7 linked regions of the Sus scrofa genome follow. The protein of the gene in region 4 interacts with the protein of the main gene of each other region in a biochemical or structural test. Links are inferred from orthologs where the notes say so. Each region holds a gene or a part of one and is shown on either strand. Other genes may lie near its edges.

Evidence for each region.
Region 1: the proteins of ubiquitin-conjugating enzyme E2 N-like (region 4) and OTUB1 form a complex in vitro, tested with the Homo sapiens proteins (6 studies listed by BioGRID and IntAct, with this or other methods). The link is inferred for Sus scrofa from reciprocal best matches to the Homo sapiens genes UBE2N and OTUB1.
Region 2: the proteins of ubiquitin-conjugating enzyme E2 N-like (region 4) and RBX1 form a complex in vitro, tested with the Homo sapiens proteins (5 studies listed by BioGRID). The link is inferred for Sus scrofa from reciprocal best matches to the Homo sapiens genes UBE2N and RBX1.
Region 3: the proteins of ubiquitin-conjugating enzyme E2 N-like (region 4) and RNF8 form a complex in vitro, tested with the Homo sapiens proteins (7 studies listed by BioGRID). The link is inferred for Sus scrofa from reciprocal best matches to the Homo sapiens genes UBE2N and RNF8.
Region 5: of the proteins of ubiquitin-conjugating enzyme E2 N-like (region 4) and UBC, one has a biochemical effect on the other in vitro, tested with the Homo sapiens proteins (21 studies listed by BioGRID, with this or other methods). The link is inferred for Sus scrofa from reciprocal best matches to the Homo sapiens genes UBE2N and UBC.
Region 6: the proteins of ubiquitin-conjugating enzyme E2 N-like (region 4) and TRIM25 form a complex in vitro, tested with the Homo sapiens proteins (3 studies listed by BioGRID, with this or other methods). The link is inferred for Sus scrofa from reciprocal best matches to the Homo sapiens genes UBE2N and TRIM25.
Region 7: the proteins of ubiquitin-conjugating enzyme E2 N-like (region 4) and RNF135 form a complex in vitro, tested with the Homo sapiens proteins (4 studies listed by BioGRID). The link is inferred for Sus scrofa from reciprocal best matches to the Homo sapiens genes UBE2N and RNF135.

The regions. Positions count from the first base shown.
Region 1 is NC_010444.4:8,088,028-8,090,291, reverse strand, and holds the end of OTUB1 (ubiquitin thioesterase OTUB1), read left to right. Parts: intron 1-593; coding exon 594-712; intron 713-901; coding exon 902-986; intron 987-1,082; coding exon 1,083-1,277; intron 1,278-1,408; coding exon 1,409-1,606; 3' UTR 1,607-1,764; downstream 1,765-2,264. UniProt on the Homo sapiens protein: Hydrolase that can specifically remove 'Lys-48'-linked conjugated ubiquitin from proteins and plays an important regulatory role at the level of protein turnover by preventing degradation.
Region 2 is NC_010447.5:7,512,065-7,516,182, reverse strand, and holds the start of RBX1 (E3 ubiquitin-protein ligase RBX1), read left to right. Parts: upstream 1-1,318; 5' UTR 1,319-1,893; coding exon 1,894-1,963; intron 1,964-2,404; coding exon 2,405-2,448; intron 2,449-2,875; coding exon 2,876-2,954; intron 2,955-4,118. UniProt on the Homo sapiens protein: E3 ubiquitin ligase component of multiple cullin-RING-based E3 ubiquitin-protein ligase (CRLs) complexes which mediate the ubiquitination and subsequent proteasomal degradation of target proteins, including proteins involved in cell cycle progression, signal transduction, transcription and transcription-coupled nucleotide excision repair.
Region 3 is NC_010449.5:32,959,312-32,962,811, forward strand, and holds part of RNF8 (E3 ubiquitin-protein ligase RNF8), read left to right. Parts: intron 1-2,029; coding exon 2,030-2,234; intron 2,235-3,346; coding exon 3,347-3,393; 3' UTR 3,394-3,500. UniProt on the Homo sapiens protein: E3 ubiquitin-protein ligase that plays a key role in DNA damage signaling via 2 distinct roles: by mediating the 'Lys-63'-linked ubiquitination of histones H2A and H2AX and promoting the recruitment of DNA repair proteins at double-strand breaks (DSBs) sites, and by catalyzing 'Lys-48'-linked ubiquitination to remove target proteins from DNA damage sites.
Region 4 is NC_010443.5:26,024,561-26,028,607, forward strand, and holds the start of ubiquitin-conjugating enzyme E2 N-like, read left to right. Parts: upstream 1-1,247; 5' UTR 1,248-1,619; intron 1,620-4,047. UniProt on the Homo sapiens protein: The UBE2V1-UBE2N and UBE2V2-UBE2N heterodimers catalyze the synthesis of non-canonical 'Lys-63'-linked polyubiquitin chains. This type of polyubiquitination does not lead to protein degradation by the proteasome.
Region 5 is NC_010456.5:28,252,693-28,256,656, forward strand, and holds the start of UBC (polyubiquitin-C), read left to right. Parts: upstream 1-1,164; 5' UTR 1,165-1,220; intron 1,221-3,964.
Region 6 is NC_010454.4:33,185,990-33,188,440, reverse strand, and holds part of TRIM25 (E3 ubiquitin/ISG15 ligase TRIM25), read left to right. Parts: intron 1-569; coding exon 570-1,099; 3' UTR 1,100-2,451.
Region 7 is NC_010454.4:42,793,255-42,796,096, reverse strand, and holds the end of RNF135 (E3 ubiquitin-protein ligase RNF135), read left to right. Parts: intron 1-144; coding exon 145-674; 3' UTR 675-2,342; downstream 2,343-2,842.

The sequences.
Region 1 (2,264 bases), on a different chromosome or scaffold from region 4:
GGTTCTCAGGGGAAGTCTTCAGTCCAAAAGGAAGCAAGGTCAAGGTGGGTGGGGGTTTGAAGAGAACAGAAAAGGTATGAGATGGGTGTCGGGGAGAAGGGGAGGGCGCCTAGGCTGAGGGAGTGAGGCCTTGACTCCTACAGGGAGGTTCAACAGACAGAGAAGAAATTTCACTGAGTTTGGGGAGGGAACCAGAAAAGATGGAGCCAGTGCCTGAGGGTGGGCGGGGTAGAGCTTAGAAGGAGGTGAGGGAGGCTGTGTCCAGCCCCAGGCTGTGCCATGGGCACCACGCTGCCCTGGAGCTCTCCAAGTGTGAAAGGTCCTTCCCTGGAAAAGCTGCTTTGATCAAGGACTCAGTCACTTGCCCAGCCGCTGGTGACCCGTGCAACCTATGTGTCCAGAAGTCAGTTTCCTGAGGCTTTGGGGGCTCCTGGTAGCATCACCAGAGTCAGCAGCCAAGGATGGCAGGTGGCTGCTTGGAGCTTAGTTGCCACCTGCTGTAGAGCAACCTCGTCAGGGCGGTTTCCTCGGCCCGCCCTGGCTCTGGCCTGATGTTGATGGGCCCGGGTGGGGCGGGGGCTGCCTCTCCGCAGGACCTCCACAAAAAGTACTCGTACATCCGCAAGACCAGGCCTGATGGAAACTGCTTCTATCGTGCTTTCGGTTTCTCCCACTTGGAGGCGTTGCTGGATGACAGCAAGGAGCTGCAGCGGTGAGGAGGGCGGGCCCTCGAGCACAAAGAGGCGGGTGGGGCAGGGTCCTAGGAAGGGCCCGAGGGGCTCCCTCCATCCTCCTGGGGACCAGGAGGTGCGGTTCCCGTGCTGCCCGGGCCCCCACCTCTGAGCTGGCCTCTCTGCTGGCCGAGGAGCCCGCGCAGCCTCTCTTTCCCTCCCGGCTGCAGGTTCAAGGCTGTGTCTGCTAAGAGCAAAGAGGACCTGGTGTCCCAGGGCTTCACCGAATTCACAATTGAGGATTTCCACAACACGGTGAGCCTCTCGGCCGGGTGGAGGGCGGGGGGCCTGGCCGAGGCAGCATCGGCCCATCTCCTCCCTCACTTGCTCTCTGTCCCCCTTGGGCGGCAGTTCATGGACCTAATCGAGCAGGTGGAGAAGCAGACCTCAGTGGCCGACCTGCTGGCCTCCTTCAACGACCAGAGCACCTCGGACTACCTGGTGGTCTACCTGCGGCTGCTCACCTCGGGCTACCTGCAGCGCGAGAGCAAGTTCTTCGAGCACTTCATCGAGGGTGGGCGGACCGTCAAGGAGTTCTGCCAGCAGGTGCTGCCCCCTCCCCGCTCCCCAGACTCACTGGGGCCTCAGGGTGGGAGCCTCGGGGCCCGGGGGTGCACCGGGTGGCTGGGGGTGCGGAGGCGCCAAGACCCAGGCCCTGAGCGGCCCCTGTGCTGCAGGAGGTGGAGCCCATGTGCAAGGAGAGCGACCACATCCACATCATCGCGCTGGCCCAGGCGCTCAGCGTCTCCATCCAGGTGGAGTACATGGACCGCGGCGAGGGCGGCACCACCAACCCCCACATCTTCCCCGAGGGCTCCGAGCCCAAGGTCTACCTTCTCTACCGGCCTGGACACTACGACATCCTCTACAAATAGGGCTGGCCCGGCCTGCCGCCGCCCTGCCTGCCCTCCCCTCTGCCAGGCACTAGACATGTACAGAGGTTTTTTTTGTGGTTGTAAATGGTCGTACTTCACCCCCCACGCCCTTCCCTGTCACACGACCTTCCATGTTTTATTAAAGGGGACGCTGGTGGTGAGCCGCGTGTGTGCGTGTCCCTGCTCTGCTGCTGCCCTCCTGGCTGCTCTCTGTCTGGCTGCCCCACCCCCCTCAGGTGGCTTCCTCTCAGCCTTCCACCTGTCCACCCCCAAGCCTCCCCGCCAGGAGTAGTTTTGAGGGGGCTAGGCCTCTTGGGGACCCCTCCTGGTTATTGGGCCTCTGCTTCCTTCCCTTCAGGCCTCTGCCCCTGCCCTCCTTAGCCAGCCAGGCCTTCCAGGGGAATTTGGAAGTTCCTTGGAGACTGGCCCAGAGCCCCAGGACCACCAAGGCTTCCAGCTCTGCCCTCATAGGCCACGCCTCCGCCCTGCTGCCCTGGCCTCCCCGGCCACCTGCTCTCCATCAGGGGTCTGCATGGTGGAGAGGGCTGGCCTGAGGGTGCGGCCTGGCTCAGGGTAGGCGGAGGAGCTGGGCCACCCTAGTGCACCCCAGGTGCTGCCCTCCGGGCGGGGGAGGGCTGTCCTCAAGTCTGTCCTTCCC
Region 2 (4,118 bases), on a different chromosome or scaffold from region 4:
TCACAAGTCTTCTCTCTCTACTCCGGTTAAAGCTGCGGCGTTTTCACAGATTTGTTTTCCTGTTTAAAATTAAGACAAGGAAACAAACCCTACTTCTGGTTTAACAGTGGAGTCAAGACCATCCATTACTCTTCAGCTTTCTTTTAAGAGAAGATACGAGATTTCAAATAAGCCAATACAAGATTTAAGAGTGATCTAGCAGTCATACCTCTGCAAGATTAGAGATGAAAAAAAAGTGGAGAGGTGGTCTACAAATGGGAAGGTGATAGAAAGCACAGGTGCTTTGGCTGGAAAGGTGCTATGGCCCAAGGAGGCTAGGACCTCAGGCCGGGCTCAGAAGTGGGTCAGGATCTGAGAAAGACCACTAAGAGTGAGGTCTTGGGTTTCCGCAGCAGGAGGCGGGACGCCCACCCTCGCCCTTTCCCCGGAAGAACGCGACGAGGACCCGCGGGCACTGGAGCTGCGCGGCGGCGGGGAAGGATAGGCTGTGCGCGGGCTGCAGGTCGCGGCCGAGGCGGAGGAAACAGCCGCCGCCCCTGCGGAGGGAGTGAGGCCGGGGGCTTCCCGAGGAAGGGCGATGAGAGCGAGTCCTTTCGAACATTTCCACCCGGCTCTCTCGCGTCGGCCCGGCCCCGCCCGGCCCCGCCCCAGCAGCTCCGGCAACCGCCTCCTCCCAGCCGACGCGGGGTAGAGTGGGGGGCGGGGGGAACCAGCACCAGCGCCTTTAAGAGGCGTGGCCACACGCTCCGCCCCCACTTGCCCCTCGCGCGCCAGTGAGGGGTGGGGTGCGGGAGGAGGTGTCCGGACGGGAGGGGGAGTGAGACGTGCGCTGGCGCGCAGGCGCAGTAACGAGACGACAGATCGTGTGTTTCCAAAATGGCGGCAGCGATGGATGTGGATACCCCGAGCGGCACCAACAGCGGCGCGGGCAAGAAGCGCTTTGAAGTGAAAAAGGTTGGGTCTCGCCAGCGCCTTCCTCAGGGAAACTAGAGAGGCGCGGATCTGGCTGGCAGGCCCAGGATGACCAAGGCGCGGAGGAAAGGGCTTCATTTCAGGGCGTTCCGGGGACCGGGTACCACCAAAGGAAGCCGGGAGGCGGGTCTTAGGGTTGATCGGCGTGACTGCGGCCCACTGTCAGTGCCAGTGTTGGTTTCGCTCGGAGGCTGAGGGGCCAATCACGGAGGTGCTTATTGAGATGCGCGGGGTTGCGACTTGGATGCAGGAGCCAAGCGCCTGAGCTGTCACTGGAGTGGTGGAGGGGTGGGGAAGGCGAGGGTGGGGCGGGTGGAAGGGGGAGTCGAGGGCTGCGGTGGGTGGAGGATGGGACAGTACGGCCCAAGCCGGGAACCTGAGGTCCTACCGCATTGGAGGCTTCTGAGGACCGGGCTAGTGATCTCCGTGCCCCGCCCCTATCCAAAGCTTGGGGTCCCTCTGAGGAACCTCGACCTGGTCCTCGCCTAATCGAGGCCTCCATTAGCCCTCTCTGGCCCTCGCCCCTGCCGAGTTAGTTTCTCGAGTGTAACTCTTGGCTCTTCTGAAAGGTCTGTTGATTTGTTACACAGCCGCCCCAGTCCTGCGGTCATATCCAGAATCCCCATCCGAAAAAAAAAAAAAAAGGCATGGTGGAATTTGTTAAAAAGAAAACGGAGCCCAAGTATTGTTTCAAGTAGGGAGGGTTGAATACAAGTTGCGAACAACCTGGTAAAGTGGGAAAGAAGAAATGTGGAACGTGTCTTTTTGCATGAAATGCCTTACAGTGATTTGCCAGCAGTTTGGGAGAAAAGTGCCCATCCCACATTAGATAAAACAAATCTGTCCAAAATGAAGATTCCAAATAGGGAAGATTTTATCCCTGGAACATCTAGCTAAACCCTGACGGTATTCCCCCGTCTAATGCGTTTTGGCGTTTCATTGTGGGCACTGCATGCTCAGTTACAGCCAGCAGCCATATTGAAGAATAGAAGTAAGATTTTTTTTTTCTTCTTTCCTCCAAGTTGAAGCTGTCGGTGAAAAGTGTTGAAGAAGTTGCTAGACATTGAAAATTAGGTTTGAAGGAGATGAAGGTTTGGGACGTGTCACCAAATTAGGGGGTGAAAGGGAGTTTGGGAATATTTATTGCAGAAGCCAGAGGTTGAATTATTGAAATACCACTTTTAGATAAACTCTTAAGGAAATTATCCTAGCTAAATATAACAGTCTGAGCATATAAAAGTTGAGAACATCAGCTTATTTGATGATAGGAACTATACGAAATTCCAGTGAATTTTAGAGTTTGTTGTGAAATAATCTTATAAGATTTAAGCGATGACCTTGTTCTATGGACTCACACTGGGTAGTTATCCAGCTTATCCTACGATTACCCGTTTTATGATCCAATCAACATCTTAGTTCATTCTCTTCCTAGCCTTCACCTGTCCATTCCTGCGTAAAAGCTGCCTTGAAGAGCAGGTATTTATGCAGAAATTGAGCTCTTTTGCAACTGCCAGGAGAACCTGCACAGTAATTCAAGTTTGTGATTATTAGACCTAAAACCGACACTTATAAATTATTCCTGATTTATTTATATTGATATGGCTGACTAAATTAAACTGTAGGAAAAAATAAAAGATGATATTCATTTGTGTTTATATAGTTGACAGTTTAGAGAATGGGTAAGCATACGTGTAGCCTACTGATGCTCTCTGATATAATTTTAAAAAAAAGAGTCATGTAACATCCAGAAACTCTTGTTTGGTGGTCTTTGTGGCCAAAAAGGTGATAACTACAGGATGAAATCCTGGAGTGTGTGTGTGTATGTGTATGTGTGTGTGTGTGCACGCGTGTGCGCTTGTGTTAAAAGAGTAGCATGCATTGTTCCCCCTTTTTCTCTTTGCAGTGGAATGCAGTAGCCCTCTGGGCCTGGGATATTGTGGTTGATAACTGTGCCATCTGCAGGAACCACATTATGGATCTTTGTAAGTAATTGGAGGAGGATGGGAGGAAGTTTGAGAAGGTTACAGAGATTGCAGCTATCCTGATGTGACCAATTTTCTTCTTCACGAGGAAAGATAAAGTATATTCTTAGCACTTGGGGACTTCTGCATTTGGTGTGTTGGTATGTTTGAAATAAAGTAATTTTTTTAGGGTGTCCTGAAGGCATATCCATCTCTCAGAATAAGGCTATTCAATCTAAAGATAAGGCCACATTTAGAATGAATTGCGGGCACAGAGGTACTGTTGATTATTTCTTCTCCATTTCCCATCTTGCACCCAGACTTAAAGGCAAAAATAGTGAAAGAAAGAAAATTAACTTTGAGCTAAAATATCCTAGCAGAGCAAATGTTTGCTGGGGAAGATTTATGAAGAGGTCTAAGGAGTATGCATTTTCAGTGTTAGCCCCAAATGTAGTTAACATCACTGCCAACATCTAAATAGGTAGTTAATTGCTCTAAGAAAATTTCATTTAAATTTCCATATAGTCCATTACACATAGTGGTCAGCACACAGTAGGTTTAATTATAGCTGTTAATGGACTTAGTATTTCTGTAGTACTAGGGGCAAGAATTATTGATCACACCAGGAGCAGTTGAGGTTACTTTTTATTCAGTTACTAAAATGGTTTGTTACTGAGATCAGAAAGAGGACAAAGAAGAGTTCCCGTCGTGGCTTAGTGGTCAACAAACCCGACTAGTATCCATGAGGACGGGGGTTTGATCTCTGCCCTTGATCAATGGGTTAAAGATTTGGCACTGCCGTGAGCTGTGGTGTAGGTCACAGAAGTGTCTCAGATCTGGTGTGGCTGTGGCTATGGCGTGCGCTGGCAGCTACAGCTCTGGTTCGACCCCTAGCCTGGGAACTTACATATGCCACAGGTATGACTCTAAACACACACACACACACACACACACACACACACACACACACGAAAGAAATAGGGCAAAGAAATTTCAACGTTCTAGAATTGAAATTTTAACTTATTTTGAAAACCACATACGTGCCTCTTCAGCTTTATCTCGAGCCACTCTCCTTACTCTGGTAGTACCCTGGCTTTCCTTCTATTCTGGAACTATCCGTGGTCTTGTATAGAGCTCTTACATATCTTGTTCCCCCTACTGGAATATTCACCGCCTCTTCTCCCC
Region 3 (3,500 bases), on a different chromosome or scaffold from region 4:
TTCTGCACAGACTTTTTTTTTTTTCACTATTTCTCATTTGTGACCCATTCATCTTAACACCACAGGTGTTAGACTCAAGTTGTTAAATAAATAAAAAAGGAGTGCTTTTCAGATTCCTTTTTGAATTTTTTTGGCCATACCCATGGCATGCAGAAGTTCTTGGGCCAGCGATCAAACCAGCGCCACAGCAGTGACAATGCCAGATCCTTAACCCCCGATGGGCCATGAAGGAACTCCAGGCAGACTCCTTTGAAAAAGAGATCTCATACACACACTGCTGCTTTTTTTCTAGTGGTCTCTAGGGAGACGCAGTGTGGTAGCCTCCTGAAAAGTCTCTCCTGGATAGACCTGGTTCTTTTGCTTTAGATCCACTTTGACTCAGATCGTCATTTCCCCCAATTTCTAGTCATTTGATTTCCTACTTTGGAGAAACTCAGTTAGTGTTGTTTTGTTGGGGCTTATGGGCTCTAATAGAGGAAGACAAGAGGGATTGGAATGGGTGCTAAGTTAGGTAATTGAGAGCATCTGTACAGCATGAAGAAGAGAGAACTTGACCTGGGTTTGATTTGCAGGTGTGCCTGACCATTTCTGCTGATCATCTCTTAAAGTCCGTGTTGGGGAGTTCCCGTCATGACTCAGTGGTTAACGAATCTGACTAGGAACCATGAGGCTTTGGGTTTGATCCCTGGTCTCACTCAGTGGGTTAAGGATCTGGTATTGCCATGAGCTGTGGTGTAGGTCGCAGACATGGCTCGGATCCCTCATTGCTGTGGCTGTGGTGTAGGCCGGCGTTACAGCTCTGATTAGACCGCTAGCCTGGGAACCTCCGTATACCATGGGTGTGGCCCTAGAAAAGACAAAAAAAAAAAAAAAAAAAGTCAGTATTGGGAAGAGGTTTCTTTTTTTTTTTTTTTTTTTGTCTTTTTAGGGCCATACCCGTGGCATATGGAGGTTCCCAGGCTAGGGGTCTGATTGCAGCTGTTGCTGCCAGCCTTCACCAGAGGCATAGCAACACAGGCTCCAAGCACTGTATGCAACCTACACCACAGCTCACAGCAATGCTGGATCCTCAACCCACTGAGCGAGGCCAGGGATCGAACCTGCAACCTCATGGTTCCTAGTCAGATTCGTTTCCCAGTGCGTCACAACAGGAACTGCAAGAGGTTTCATTTTAATCATGCAGGTTTTTAGTGCTGTTTATGAGAATTGATCTCATTCTTTACTGAGAACTTCTCCTAGTTGGCTTTCTGGTCTCAACTTGGCATTTGGAAAATACGTAATTTCTGTGTTATTTTCTGCTGCTGTCCTGAAAGCCAGAATGAGATTTTTGAGCCTCAGAAAAAGTTGTTTCTTAGGAGGTATACATAAAAGGGAGTAATGCAAAGAATGGCTTATATTGGGGGAGTGAAAAGAGCCTGGGCAGAACTAGCTGATCATTGGGGTTCCTCAGAGGAGCTGCTCAGATTCAGACTTGCTTCTGCTTTCTCTCTTCTCATAGGCTTTTTTACTTAAGGCACTCTCAGTTGAACCCATTACATTTCACCCCCATTTTTAGTTCCTTTTTTCCCAGCTTAAGTTCTCTTTTCTCTTGCATCTATTAAAATTGAGTTTGTAATTCCCCATTAGGATGTACATTTGTTTTTCATGAGAGAATTAACGGTGTATTTATACCAAACACTCACAGGCTTACCAGTGTTCTTATGTCTGGTGACATTTTTTTGCACAGTAGCTGGTACATGTTGGCAGCATGAGATACCTGAGTTTGGAACAGAATAGGCAAATCAGCCTACCTGGAAGCCAAGTCTAGGAACTTAACTTTGAGAGAGAAAAATGAATCATCTAACATGAAGCTTAAAATTTCCCATTCCTAGGAATGATTCTGATACCCTTTGTAAACCCCCTGGATGAGGCTGTGATTAAATTTCCATTTGGCCTTGGGAATTCACTTCTGTCTTAGTTCAAGGATCACAACGGCCCTGGGGAAGTAACCATGACAGTTCTGATGTGTGTGTTCACCTTCCCATTCTAGGCTGTCACCTTGAACTGTGCCCATAGTTTCTGCTCCTTCTGTATCAATGAGTGGATGAAGCGGAAGGTAGAATGCCCCATTTGTCGGAAGGACATCAAGTCCAAAACACACTCCCTGGTTCTGGACAATTGCATTAATAAGATGGTAGATAATCTGAGCTCAGAAGTGAAAGAACGACGAGTTGTTCTCATCAAGGAACGAAAAGGTGAGTGGGTCTGAACAAGAGGTGAGTCCCCTCAACCAAAGGCTTAGGATGATTTTTTTGGATGGAGAGGAGTCAACATAAATGATTCTTTTGTTTTGTTTTGTTTAAAGATTCTTGAGCTAAGTGAGAATTGGAAGAAATGGGGGAAAGTAAAGCAAGTTAAAGATAGTGAATGTGTAAGAGTTGAGGTAGAATAAACTATTATTTGAGCAGCAGGGAATGGTATGGCTTGGGTGTACATGTCTTGGTTGCTGGCATAAAGATGTGATTAGAAAACAGTTTGCTGTGCTGGTCACTAGATGGTGCTGTTGTTCAAGACAGTTTAGTTGCTGTCCATGTGTCATTAAAAACCTTGGGTGTATAATAAATTATAAATAGGATGTGTACGCGTAAAAGACTCACACCTTGGAGAATGCCAAGAAATGTGAGGAAAACATATTTAGATTCACAGTAAGAGTCACAGCTTGATTACACAAATTAGGCATAATATTAATCAAAAAGAAATCAGTTTAATCCTACTGTGTTAACTTTGGACATCCTAATATATTTACCAACAAGTTTCCCAGGCAGAGAGTTTGGATAAAGAGTTTAGGGAAGGAGCGGGTGAGTTTCCTCAAGTAACCATATTTGTGTAGTGACTATCTGCTCATTTAACTAAGTGAGGTCATCACATCTGGCGCCTGCACTGCTGAGGGTTGCAGAGCCACTCTGCATGAGACTTGAATGTCGCTGTGGCAGAAGAATGTGTCTCCTGGGGCAAAGCACAAGGAAGCTAGTGGATCAGAAGGATTGGTTACTGGGTGGGGAAGAGTGCCTGGAGGCAGGATGGATCTGATTATCATGTTCAGTCCCTTTAAAAACCCAGTGGGATTCCCACTGTGGCTTAGTGGTAACAAACCCAACTAGTATCCATCAGGAGCCAGGTTCGATCATCAGCCTCTCTCAGTGGGTTAAGGATCCAGTGTTGCCGTGAGCTATGGTGTAGGTCGCAGACATGGCTCAGATCCTGTGTTGCTGTGGTTGTGGTGTAGGCCGCAGCAACAGCTCCGATTAGACCCCTAGCTGGCAGCCCTAAAAAGACAAAAATAAATAAAAGTTCACCTCCCTTCCAGGTGCTTCCCACCATCTGACTGTTGGGAACCCATGTTCGTGTGTGTGAAGTTGAAGGTTTAAAAGCCACACTGCTAAGAACAAGATCATCTGCCTACTGCATGCTTTCTCCTAGTCCTTCAGTAGATAACAGCCACTTTGAGGAGGACCAGAAAT
Region 4 (4,047 bases):
CCTTCTGAACACTTTAAATTTCACTCTGCTCCACTTCCATGGTTTCTGAGAAGTTGCATGTAATTTTCATCTTTGCTCTACTATAAGTAAGGCTTTTTTCCTCTCCTCTGGCTTCTTTCGAGATTTTTCTTTATTTTTGATCTTCTGTAGTTTGAATATGATATGCCTAGGTGTAGTGTTTTTTGGAACTATTCATGATTGATGTCTCTGACATTAGCATTTTACATTAATTTAAAGAAAATTGCTGTCCTTATTGCTTCAAATATTTCTCCTATTACTTTCTCTTCCTGGTATTCCCATTATACATATGTAACACTTTTTTATAGTTGTCTCACAGTTCTTAGATATTATCTTTTGGGTTTTTTTTCCATTTTTTTTTTCCCTCTTTGCATCTCTGTTTTGGAAGTTTCTATTAACATTTCCTTAAGCTCAGAAATTCTTTCCTCAGCTGTGTCCAGCCTACTGATTAGCCCATCAAATGCATTTTTTTATTTCTGTTACAGTGTTTTGGTTCCAGCATTTCTTTTTGGTACTTTCTAAGAATTTCCATCTCTCTGCAGACATTGCCCATCTGTTCTTGCATGTTGTCTATTTTTTCCATTAGCCCTTTGCATATTCATCATATTTATTTTACATTCCTGGTGTAATAATTCTAACAACATTCTTGCCATATCTGAATCTATTCCACTTTATTATTATGTAATGCTCCTCTATATCTCTGATAACTTTTATTGCTCTGAAGTCTGCTCTGTCTAAAATTAGTAGAGTTACTCCTGAATTTTTTTGACTGGTGTTAGCATGGCATATCTTTCTCCATGCCTTTATTTTTAATTTACGTATGTCTTTATTTATATATGCATGCATTTGGTCACACCTACAGCATGTGGATGTTCCTGGGCCAGGGATTGAACATTGCTCTGGCTCTTCAAATGGTGTCTGTCTTTTGCCTTTTAGTATGCCTTACAAGTTTTTCTTGAAAGATGGACTTGTACTGAGTAAAAGGAACTGCAGTAAATAGGCCTTTAATGATGTGGTGGTTAGGTGTGGGGGAAGGGAAAATGTTTTATAGTTTTATGATTAGGTGTCAGTCTTTTGATGAGCCTGTGCTGCTGGGCTGTGAACGTCACACGTGCTTCTCTGTTGTTGTGGGTTTTTTTTTTTTTTTGCCCCACTCCCCCCCCTTAATTGGAACAAGATGCCTAGAGGAGCAGGAGTTGCGTATTTCGCTTCCCCAGTGTAAGAATAGAGCCAGCTGGGGCTGGGCATTTCCCTTCCCCTAGGTCAGTTAGGCACAGATAAAATCCCAGCAGGTTAGGCCCTAGAAAATAGCTTCTCCTGCAGGCGGACCTTGTTAAGAAGTGAGTGCTCTGGCACATTTCAAGGTGGTTCCTCTTCGGCTCCTTCTTCAGGAAACACAAGAAGATTTTCCTCTCAGATCTCCACTGTGAGAGTCTAGTAGGGCTCCTAGAGGCAAAGCTCACAAAGTGTGGATTCCTCTGGAATATTTAATTCTCCGATTTGTCTACTCTGCGGCTCCAGCCACCTGTCAAATACAGTTCAGCTTTCCTGACTGCGGCACTGGTTCCTGAGGAGGTTTCTGCTTGTGGGTTTCCGCTCTGGTAAGTTGTGATTTTCTGTGTCTCCCTGTCTCTCTAATGTGAGGGCCCGAGATTTGCCCTGAGACCTTCGTTCTCTCATGGATTTAAGAGTGGGTGATTTTTCAGTTTGTTCGGCTTTTTCTTGTTTTTAGAATGGAGGAATGACTTTCAAGCTCCTTCCAGGCCAGACCAGGAACTGCACCCCTTTTCCTTTTTATAAAATGATACCTGAGTGATATTTTCTGATCCAGTGTAGAATTTAGTGAAAACGTCTACATTCTGGTCATTGTTGCTATATTATTCCCTTCCGTTAATCCTTTTGGGCTATAATTGTTTCCCCAAATACTTTTTAGCTGTTAACAGTCTAGTTCTTTCCTCTGTTTGTTTTTCTTCAATTCCACTCCCACTCTGTCTTGGAGTGCTAACAACCAGTACCACCCATGTGTGCCAGTTGGGTCAACATTTAAACAAGGATGTACTGTTTACACTGTTGTTTCTAACATTCTGGTTGCAAACACCGCTTTGTGCTTTGTGAATTGAATTGGTGACAGGTGAAACTTAGGCTGATGGCAGAGAATTTGGGGTTATAAATGATGGTTCGAAGCTAGATTTATTTCGTTTTCTCTAAACCTATTAAATCTGTCCAGGTTGAAGCTCACTTGTATTGTATGCACTCACATTACGTAGAGAAATGGCTTTCAGCCTTGCCTTTGTAATAGATTCACTGGCTCTATTTCTATTTAATTGGTCTAGATGGGTCCTGGTATCAGTATTTCTGAAAGTTCCTTGAGTAATTCTACCATGCAATTTGAGGTAAGTCCATTGGTCTGTAGCAATGGTCAGCAAAACTTTTCTTTAAGGAGCGGAGAGTAAATATTTTAGGCTTTGAAGATCATTTGAAGATCATATATTCTCTACTGTAATTACTCAGCTCTCATGTAGCCGCCACAGGCAAATGGGCATGGCTATGCTCTAACAACTTCCTTTCTAGAGACCAAAATTCTAATTCATATACTTTTCATGTGTCATGAAATATTCTTATTCATTTGATGTTTTTTTTCAACTATTAAAAAATATAGGAGTTCCCGTTGTGACTTGGCAGTTAACAAACCTGACTAGGATCCATGAGGATCCCTGGCCTTGCTCTGTGGGTTAAGGATTCGGCGTTGCCATGAGCTGTGGTGTAGGTCTCAGACACGGCACAGATCTGACATTGCTGTGGCTGTGGTGTAAACCAGCAGCTGTAGCTCTGATTCAACCCCTAGCCTGGGAACCTCCATATGCTGCGAGCGCAGCCCTAGGAAGAACAAAAAAAAAAAGTACAGATTGGTTTTGTCTTACAGGATTTACGATAACAGTCTGCAAGTGGGATTTGGCCTAGGGACTGTTGTTTGGCAGTTCCTAGTTAATGGTTTATTTTCTTCACTGCTTCAATTTGGTTCCAAAAGAGAAAATGTTTCCTTAGTTACATCACTGATAATATCTTCAATGAATCCCAGAACTGACTACTTATTTTAAGTCAGTTTATCAGAACATTTTTAAACATGGCAATGCATTTCCTTATTAGGCTCTGAAGTTGTGGCCATTGAGATGCTTTTATCTATGAGTAACAAGCATGGCTTAAAAGGCTTTCAACAGTAGGAAAGGTATTATCTCATTAAAATAGAGAGAATTGCAGGGCTATTGTTATTTGAAAATGTCATCAGCCCAGATGTTTTCCATCTTTCATTCTACTATCCTCAATATTAGTCCTGCCTGATGTCTTGCCTCATGGTGGCAAGATGGCTGTAGTAGCCCTGGGCATCACATGCAGACTCACAACATCCAAAAAAAACAAAGAATAATTCCTTCCTTGAATTTATTTTGAATGTGGGGCAGTCTATTTTTAGACCAAGGCCCTCCTCCTATGTAAATCTCCCCTTAAGTCTCAAGGACCAAATCAGGCCCTGGTGAAGGAATTGAGATTACCATGATTACCTATCATGATGCTTGCCTTGGCTTCAGGATCTGGTCTGCCTTTCACAGGTGGCCCCAGGATCCCAGAATCAAATCAGGGTTCTGATAGCAAAGGAAGAGGAAGAAATGGCAGTGGGGCAAAAAAAAAAAAAAGTCTCACACAGAACTAGATTGTTAGGATTAAAAAAAATAAGGCGGCTGTCTCCTAAACTCCTCATTTCCATTTGTTTATTTACTTCCTTTAAAAGACCATTAGACAATTGTTGAGTACAATTTTCCTGAAAGATAGCTTATTGATTTTTCACTCAAGTAGGTTACATTTTGCTTCAGCCTTCAAAGACATTTCTATTACTCCCTTCAGATTACATTTAAAAAGGAATGTATCCGATTTTGGCTTACTTTGTTCTTTTTCTAAACCTGTACCACGTTGTGTGTGTAGCATAAAAATGTCCATGTCAAAAAAGGTTTAAAAAGAGTCATCACTTTTTTCTTT
Region 5 (3,964 bases), on a different chromosome or scaffold from region 4:
TGTTTTCAATAATTAGATTTTATTTCATAGTTAAAAAACAAACTAACAAAACTCATTATATGAGGTACCAAAAACTTGTCAAATTCATAGAGACAGAAAATAGAATGGTGGTTGCCCAGGGCTGGGGGTGGGGGTAGTTAGTGTTTAATGCGTACAAAATTTCAGTCTAGCAAGCCGAAGAGTGGACACAGATGGCAGTGATGGACACCCAAATACCCCAATTTGATATTGTTTTGAGGTGTAGTCACTTGAAAAGCAGCAAATGCAGAGTGAGGCTTTCACTCAACTCCCCTAATCTGCCCAGACAGATTTTGCAAAAGAAACTCAAGGGAGTTTTCACCAACCAGGGAAGATTGGCTCTTAAAACAGGAGAGACAAACTTTGACACCAAACTTTGTCATCAACTATCTTGTCTCCATCTATTCTTCTATTTTCTCAGTAAAAATTATTTACTCTCCCTTTAAGAGAATTTCCTATTAAGATGGTATTTAAGCCTAAATTCTAAAGCCTTTTTTTTAAGTGACACATTTTCCCCCAGAGGGTAGCTCCCATATATACACAAGGTGTGCATATTACTAAACTATTGTTTTTGTTTTCTTTTGTTTTGTTTCTCTTGCTAATCTGTCTTTCATTACAGGGGTCTCAGCTAAAAGAAGGATTCCCAAAAGGAAAATTATTTTTCCTCCCCTACAATATAATTAATGCCACTGAGCTGTACACTTAAAAATAGTTAAGATGATACATTTTTATGTGTATTTTGCCACAATTTAAAAACAGCAAATTAAAAAACAAAACAAAACCCCAGTGAGTTAAAAAATTTCTTAGTGTTTCTAAGTTAGGCAAATTTGGGTACTGGAACTGAATCTGACTTCCTGACTGGCGGGGGGATAAGATGGGTTATTTTTAAGCTGGAGCAGTTTGTGTTCTGCCACAGAATGCAAATACATAAATGTAAGCAGGAAAACGGACAGAGTAGAGTCCCTAGGGCTTCTTTTTATTTTTTCTCTCCTAAGCTGCAGATTCCCTTTTATGGTTATATAACTGATGATGACGCAAGTCAAACCTTTCCCGTCCAGCTCTCAGATTTCACCCTTTCTCTTGGAAAGAAAATGTTTGCTGGTCACTACGTAGACACTCTCATGACGCTGAGTTAAGTCCCATACAAGGTGGTGACCTTCAGGAGAGCTGAATCCTTTGGGGAAAGGAGGAAAGGCAGACAGGTAGGCTCCAGTCCAATCCCCAACAGCCCAACACCCAGGCCCTTTGTGAGCTCAGCCCATCACGTGCTCTTGCCTGCCCGCCAATCCTGCCGTGTTGCTGGGCCTCTGTCACTCTTCCATTGGTGCCAGCTCTGAAGCCATCCCTTCTGGGGCACCTGCAAAGGATGGATCAGTGGGTGGAAGGAACTGAAAATGGATCCAATGACTCATCCTGCTTCTGGCATATTCTAGCACATTGCATTCTAGGTCAAGGGATTTTAGGTTGTAGGAACGTGACTTGGTACACGATCCCCGAATCCAAGTGGGACATTTAGACTTTGGGAGCCCTTCTCAGCAAACAGAAAAGCAGCTCTAACAAAAACAACAAAAATCCTCCGTAGAGCAGAATTTGTCAACCCATTGCATTGCTGACTTTGGGGGCTGGGTAATTCTGTTTTTGTGGGGGACTGGCCACTGCAGGATGTTTAGTAACATCCCTGGCCTCTACCACTAGATTTTAGCGGCACACCTCAACCCCAACACCACAGCTGTGACAAGCAAAAATGTCTCCAGATACTGCCAAGTGTCCACCAAGGGACCAAGTCGCTCCTGGTTGAGAACCACTGCTCTAGAGAAACAGCATCTACCTCCCTGAGAGTTTACTTCCCCCTCCTCCCTTTCACTTCAGTGCCCTTGGACAAATGTTTATTTCTATTTGCTTCAACAAAACCCACTGTTGGACTTAGAGACCAAAATTCTCTAGTAGAGAATTTTCCTGCTAGAGACAACATCAGTGTTGTTAGCGCCTAAGAATATTGTTTTCTCTTTGGAGATAGCCCTGGGACCCAGTCCTCACCCTTGGAGCCTTTCTTCTTCCCCCTCTCCCCCTCTTTCTCCTTTTCACCTTCCCTTGCCTCTGAAATCAGGTCTGTTTTTCTCTGTAGTTTTTGGACTCTTGAAAAAAAAGCTATGTCACAAAGCTCGTGACTCAGCCTTTAAACAACATGAATCATAAGACCTGCAGTGAAAGAACAGCCAAAAGAAAACAGGGTGTGGTTTGAAGCCAGGCCTAGTCACCTGAGAAAGAACCTCAGCTTTTTGTTCCTCTGAAAACTTCTTTCTGGAATTCAAGAAGGAAACCTTATACAGAGCTTTGATGTTCTGTTCCTTTAAACCCTCTTTTCAGAAATTTAGAAATATCCCTCACAGAAATCTCTACTGGAAGTCACTGAGGTCTCCTGCTAAACTGAAAAATGACATTTTATTTTTATTATTCATTTACATTTCTTGGTAATGAATTCATTCTCTTTGAAAATGTTTAAAACGATAGGAGTTAAAGTCTGTTTTGAATACTGCTTAGACCTTTCCCATAAATACCTACAGACACAGGTTGCCAAAGAAAACATAGTTTTGTTTTTATTCTCATTTTAAGTACAGTATTTAAATAACATAATGTTTATAATTCCAACAGGAATGTAGTCTTTTCCTAATAGCAGGGTATTTTTTAGTCGGTTCTCTCTTTTTCTATATATTTATTGAAAGCTTCAAGGGTAAAAATTAAAAACACCCTCCCCACATTTATAGAAATAGAGAATATTTCTAGAAGAGTCTAGAAAGAACAGTGGCTAGGGAATTGAGTGCATGAGGGAGGTTTTTCATTATAAACTATAGAAAACCTGTTTTAAGTTTTCATCACGTTCATATATTTTAAAACATTTTTAAAATATGCCTTTGGAAAAAAATTTAAGTATGCTTTTTGAAAAAAGGAAAAAATATGCTGGAGAAATGACACAGAGATCACAAAATAAAATATCAAAATGAAAAAGATCTGACTGGTGATCTTTTTCTTTTATCCAAATGGAATTTGTCTATAGATTTAAATTTCATACTTGGGGTCTTTTTTCCACCAGGACTATACAGAACTTACAATTAGTGTCCTTTTAAAAATCTCAGGCTCAGCGATAAGAAAGGAAATGTATATATATGCATGACTATCATTTTGCTGTAAAGCAGAAATTGACATTATAAATCAACTACAATAAAAAACTTCATTAAAAAATAAAATTAAAAAAAAGAAAAAAAGAAAACGTGGGTTTAAATAGATTTGATTTCTGATTTCTGAGTTCAAATGGCAGCAGAAGTGAAATTCTGATGCCTTCTTGCTCATAATCGGGAACAAAACAGGAAGGCCGAAGAGCAATCCGCAAAGTTCTGTCAGCTTTCAGGTCCAGCGCAAGGAGTGTTTCACAGCTGTGTGGAATTTTTGCTTTTACTTTTCAAAATTCAATGTGAACTTGTCACAGGCATTTCTCCTTTGGACACTTATTTTTCACTCCTGCGTTGTGAGAAAATTCCTGCAGGTCCTGACGACCCTCCTGAGGCGGGCTTGAGGCCCGGCCCCGAGATTTGTCGAGTCATTCCTCTTGTCCCGGTGCCCGCCCGCAGGGGGATGGGTTCGGCCGCCACAGTTGGGGTGACTAGACCCCCCGGGAAGTCCTCGCGACCCACTGGGGGTGAGGGGAAGTTTATGGAAACAGAAACACTATCGTTACCTATGGGAGACCCAGAATAAAGACCCCACGGTTTCGCTGGCGGGGAAGAGGGGTTGGGGGGAGGGGCACGGCGGAACTCGGGCCAGGGGAGCGGGACCCCGATTCATCGTGAGGCGCTCGGCGGGACCCCTGTTAGCCGAGGGCGGGTCTCAGGAAAGGCGAGCCTTCCTGGTTGAGGGGAGGGGGCGCCGGGGACCGGCAGCGGGGACAGCC
Region 6 (2,451 bases), on a different chromosome or scaffold from region 4:
AGATGGACATATGTCTGGCTGGCTGGACAGAATGGATGGCATGTGCCAAGGGCTCATATATAGTTTTGGATGGGGTTCCCGTCGTGGCGCAGTGGTTGACGAATCCAACTAGGAACCACGAGGTTGCAGGTTCGATCCCTGGCCTCGCTCAGTGGGTTAAGGATCCAGCATTGCTGTGAGCTGTGGTGTAGGTCGCAGACGAGGCTCAGATCCTGCGTTGCTGTGACTCTGGCGTAGGCCAGTGGCTACAGCTCTGATTAAACCCCTAACCTGGGAACCTCCATATGCCACAGGAGTGGCCCTAGAAAAGGCAAAAAGACAAAAAAAAAAAAAAAAAAAAAAAAAGTTTGGATGGTGGAATAGACAGAGAGATGACAGATGGCTGGATTGATGGATAGACAGGTGGACAAATGTCTGGCTGGCTGGACAGGATGGATAGATGGATGGATGGATGGAAGGATGGATGAATAGATAAAACCAACGAACAAATATTACATTTAGGGAAAGTTTGAAAAGTGAGAGCCCTTCGGGCACCTTGTCCCTGACCCCTTGGGGTGATGCTTTCTTAGATGCCGTTAAAGTCATCCTGGACTACAACACCGCCCACAACAAGGTGGCCCTGTCCCAGAACTTCACCGTCGCTTCTGCGGCCGACACGTCCCAGGACTACCAGCCACATCCCCAGAGGTTCACCTACTGCTCGCAGGTGTTGGGCCTGCACTGCTACAAGAAAGGGATCCACTACTGGGAGGTGGAGCTGCAGAAGAACAACTTCTGCGGGGTAGGCGTCTGCTACGGCAGCATGCCGCGCCACGGCCCCGAGAGCCGGCTTGGCCGCAACAGCGCCTCCTGGTGCGTGGAGTGGTTCAACACCAAGATCTCGGCCTGGCACAACAACGTGGAGAAAACCCTGCCCTCCACCAAGTCCACGCGGGTGGGGGTGCTTCTCAACTGCGATCACGGCTTTGTCATCTTCTTCGCCGTGGCCGACAAGGTCCACTTGCTGTATAAGTTCAAGGTGGCCTTTGCGGAGGCGTTGTACCCGGCCTTCTGGGTGTTCTCCGCAGGTGCCACACTCTCCATCTGCTCCACCAGGTAGGCAGGCTGGGGACCCTTGGCTTGACTGCCTGGGCCGTGCTGGAGACCCTAATGAAATTGCTGCAGGTGGGACTCTCAGGGAGCTGCCCTGAGCGTCCCCAGGGGTTGCAAGGATGGGAGGGGAGTGGGTGAGGGTGAGAGGGTGGGAAGACGGGGTAAGAGGAGGCTGTTGGCCAGGGCAAGGGGTGGGGTGATTGTGATGTGGGCAGGGAAGCCCTTCTGCTTCCTGGTGCCCTTCAGGGGAGGGACAGGATGTCCCCCCTCCCCTGACTTGTTCTCTGGACAGCTGGGTGGGGCTTTGAGAATAAAATCATTAGCACCCTTTTCCTCTTAGAGATAATCCATAGCCACTCTGGGTTCTTCCTTAGGCTGCTGGTGTCTGCCTCTTTGCTCTCTGGAGGAGCCTTCAAATCTTAGTGTTCGGATGACTCTCTGTAGAGCTGTTCGACTCTCTAGATTTAAAAAAAAATAACTTCCAAAGTCACTGAGTTTCAATATGACTCGCCCTCCACTACCTACACGTGGAGGTTGGGGTGAATGCTCAGACTTCTGGTTATTGGCTGTGCCCGAGGGAAGTGACCCACAGGGGGTCTCCAGCCAGACCAGAGGATTCCCAAAGAAGGATGGCCTCTTTCTGCACTGGCACATAGCCCTGTTTCCCTTCCTGTCCTGCACATCTCATCACCCCATCCATGGTGTTAAAATGTGTAGGCAAATAGGAACCTTTTCAGTGTCAGATTTCAAACCCTGATCTGAATCAACCTGGGTTGAATTTGCGATTCAAGGTCAAGGTGACCCAGGTCCCACGTGGATGGCAACACCCCTCCCCACTTGCGCCCCGTCAAACATTACGAAAGGCATCTTGGCCAAGATGCCTTGGCTGCAGCCATGGAGCCTTCTTCCCCTAGCCCAGGCTTTGGGACAAAGGACTCCGCTAGGCAAGAGGGACCCTCACGGGGTTCACAGTTGGTGGTCTTGCTCTCGTTAGCGTCTCTTGCCTTCTAACTCATCACTGTCCTCAGTGAGAGCCTCCCCTCTCCTGGACTGTGAGAGTCTGGACTGGCTGGGAGAGCCACATCCACTGTGGCCAGCACTGTTGAACAGTCAGCCTAGCCTGCTGTCACGCAGACAGGCCCTCTGTCTCGGGGACACACTAGGTCACCTGCTGGGGTGACTCCCTACGGCCAGAAGGGCCTTCCAGCGAATCCATGGGAAATGGCACCATGCCTCCCAACCCAGGCGGTCCTTGCATGAGACAGAGGCCTGTCACCAGCCCTAGCCCCGTCCGTTCTCCTTGGCTGAGCCAATTCCAGGTGTAGATTGTCTTGACCTGGTGAAGAATCAGGAAGACTT
Region 7 (2,842 bases), on a different chromosome or scaffold from region 4:
TGCACGTTGATATACCAGGGTTTATGTTAGTGTGAGTAAAACTTTATCACACTCGAAGATACAAAGCTGCTTTTTGCTATTTGAGGATCTCTTCGCATGAACCATCAGAGCTGGCTGGTCACATTCTTGTTTCTTTTCCCTCAGGGGCCATCAGTCCAACCTTTGACCTAGGGAGCCTCTCCTGTAGCCTGGAGGTGTCCGAGGATCACCGGACGGTGACCGTATCTCACTACCCACAGTCCTATCCCTGGAGTCCCGAGAGGTTTGCCTCCTGCCAGGTTTTGGGTTCCCAGGGCTTCTCTTCTGGGCAGCGGTACTGGGAAGTGGACACCCAGCGTTGTAGCCACTGGGCAGTTGGGGTGGCTTCCCGGGGGATGAGGCGTGACCAGATCCTGGGAAGGACCAGCGACTCCTGGTGCGTGGAGTGGAACGGGGCTAGCCAGCTCTCTGCGTGGCACGTAGTCAAGCAAACTGTCCTTGGCTCAGACAGACCTGGTGTGGTAGGCATCTGGCTGGACTTCGAGAAGGAAAAGCTCGCCTTCTATTCCGTGGCTGATCAAGAGAAGCTTCTGTACGAGTATCCAGTCTCTGCCTCCTTTGCTCTGTACCCTGCCTTCTGGCTGTATGGCTTATATCCTGGAAACTCTCTGACTGTAAGGCAGGTAAACCTATAAACGTTCCTTGGGTGTGAAAACATGTTGGTTTCCCAGTCTCTCTGGCTTCAGGCAGGCCGGCAACTTGGCTTAAGAATCCCACTTCAGGGAATTCCTGTTGTGGCTTAGCAGTTTAAGAACCCAATTAGTATCCATGAGGATGCAGGTTCCATCTCTGGCGTCGCTCAGTGGGTTAGGGATCCGGTGTTGCTGCAAGTGGCGGCATAGGTCACAGATACAGCTTGGATCTGGTGCTGCTGTGGCTGTGGTGTAGGCCTGCAGTTGCACTTCCAGCTCGACCCCCTAGCCTGGGAACTTCCATATGCCGCAGGTGTGGCCCTGGGAAAAAAAAAAAAGATTCCCATTTCAGATGTTAAGGAATTCGAAGTAAGTGCTTAACTCAGCAGGCTTAGGTTGTTCAGATCCGCACATTCCAAAGAAAGGAGAGTCTTGACTGGGAGATAACTTCAAAGCCCTTGGAGGAGTTCCTGTCGTGGCACAGTGGTTAACGAATCTGACTAGGAACCATGAGGTTGCCAGTTTGATCCCTGGCCTTGCTCAGTGGGTTAAGGATCTGGCATTGCCGTGAGCTGTGGTGTAGGTTGCAGATGCGGCTCGGATCCCACGTTGCTGTGGCTGGTGGCTGCAGCTCCAATTAGAATGCAAAAAGACAAAAACCAAAACCAAAACCAAAAAAAAAAAAACAAAGCCCTTGTAATATCCTGCCTGATAAGGTGTCTTTCTTTACCTGAGGGTCTTGGGCCAGGCAGTATCAGCTTGACCTCTGGAGGGACTGGAAACTAAGGTCATGATGTGGGTGGTGGGTCTGCCTATGTGACCGACCCCCCAGTCAAAGCCATGGACACAAGTCTTGGCTGGGCCTCCCGGCTGGCAATATTCTGTCTGTGTTGTCACACATTGTGTTGGGAGAATTAAGCCTTATTCTCCTGACTCCACTGGGAGAGGAAATTAGGGGTCTCCTGGCCCCTGCCCTATGTGCCTTTTTCTATTCCTGTTTTGTTGTTGTTTTGTCTTTTTAGGGCCATACCCTCGGCATATGGAAGTTCCCAGGCTAGGGGTCGAATCAGAGCTATAGATGCTGGCCTACGCCACAGCCACAGCCATAGCCACATCAGATCTGAGCCTCGTCTGTGACCTACACCACAGCTCATGGCCACACCGGATCCTTAACCTTCTTTTTTTTAAATTTTTTTTATTTTTTTGTCTTTTTTTTTTGCTATTTGTTGGGCTGCTCCCGAGGCATGGAGGTTCCCAGGCTAGGGGTCTAATCGGAGCTGTAGCCACCGGCCTACGCCAGAGCCACAGCAACTCGGGATCCGAGCCACGTCTGTGACCTACACCACAGCTCATGGCAACGCCGGATCGTTAACCCACTGAGCAAGGGCAGGGACTGAACCCACAACCTCATGGTTCCTAGTCAGATTCGTTAACCACTGCGCCACGACGGGAACTCCGGATCCTTAACCTTCTGAGTGAAGCCGGGGATTGAACGTGCATCCTCATGGATGCTAGTCAGATTCATTTCTGCTGAGCCACGATGGGAACGCCCGTCCTGGCTTTTATAGTAATGGCTTCCTTGCATCTTTTGTTTTAGCACCTAAATATGTGTTCCTAGCTGCAAGCATTTAGTCTTGCCCATTAAAAAAACCTGATACATCTTTTTCGTAATAGCTTTGTTGAGATTTGATTTACATACTGTAAAATTCACTTCAAGTGTACACATCAGTTTTTTCATATATTGACAGAGTTGTGAAACCATCACCACTGTCTAATTTTAGAACATTTTCATCACCCCCAGAAAGACCCCTGATACCCATTAGCAGTTGATATGTCTTTGAAGTCTTCTGATCCGAAGCTTTCCCCTCCCTTTCTTCTTCCGATTCATCTGTAGGCTCCCAGGCTGCCTCCACACTGGTGGGAGAAGTGGAAATTCAGTTCCGTTGGACTGGGCCGGGCAGAAAGTCTGGCCACACAAACCAGCGAGGCAGCCTTTGATCGTGCATGTCACCTCTTTGCCCCTTTTCCATGTAAAAGGGCAGTGACTATTCTTTGCCCTTCCTGATCTTCCCCCAAGGGTTGCCGAGAGAATTAAATAAATAGATGAGGCCATTGGAAGAATGCCAGGGTGATTATAACCACAGCAACCACGAGGGAATATATTTTCCTAT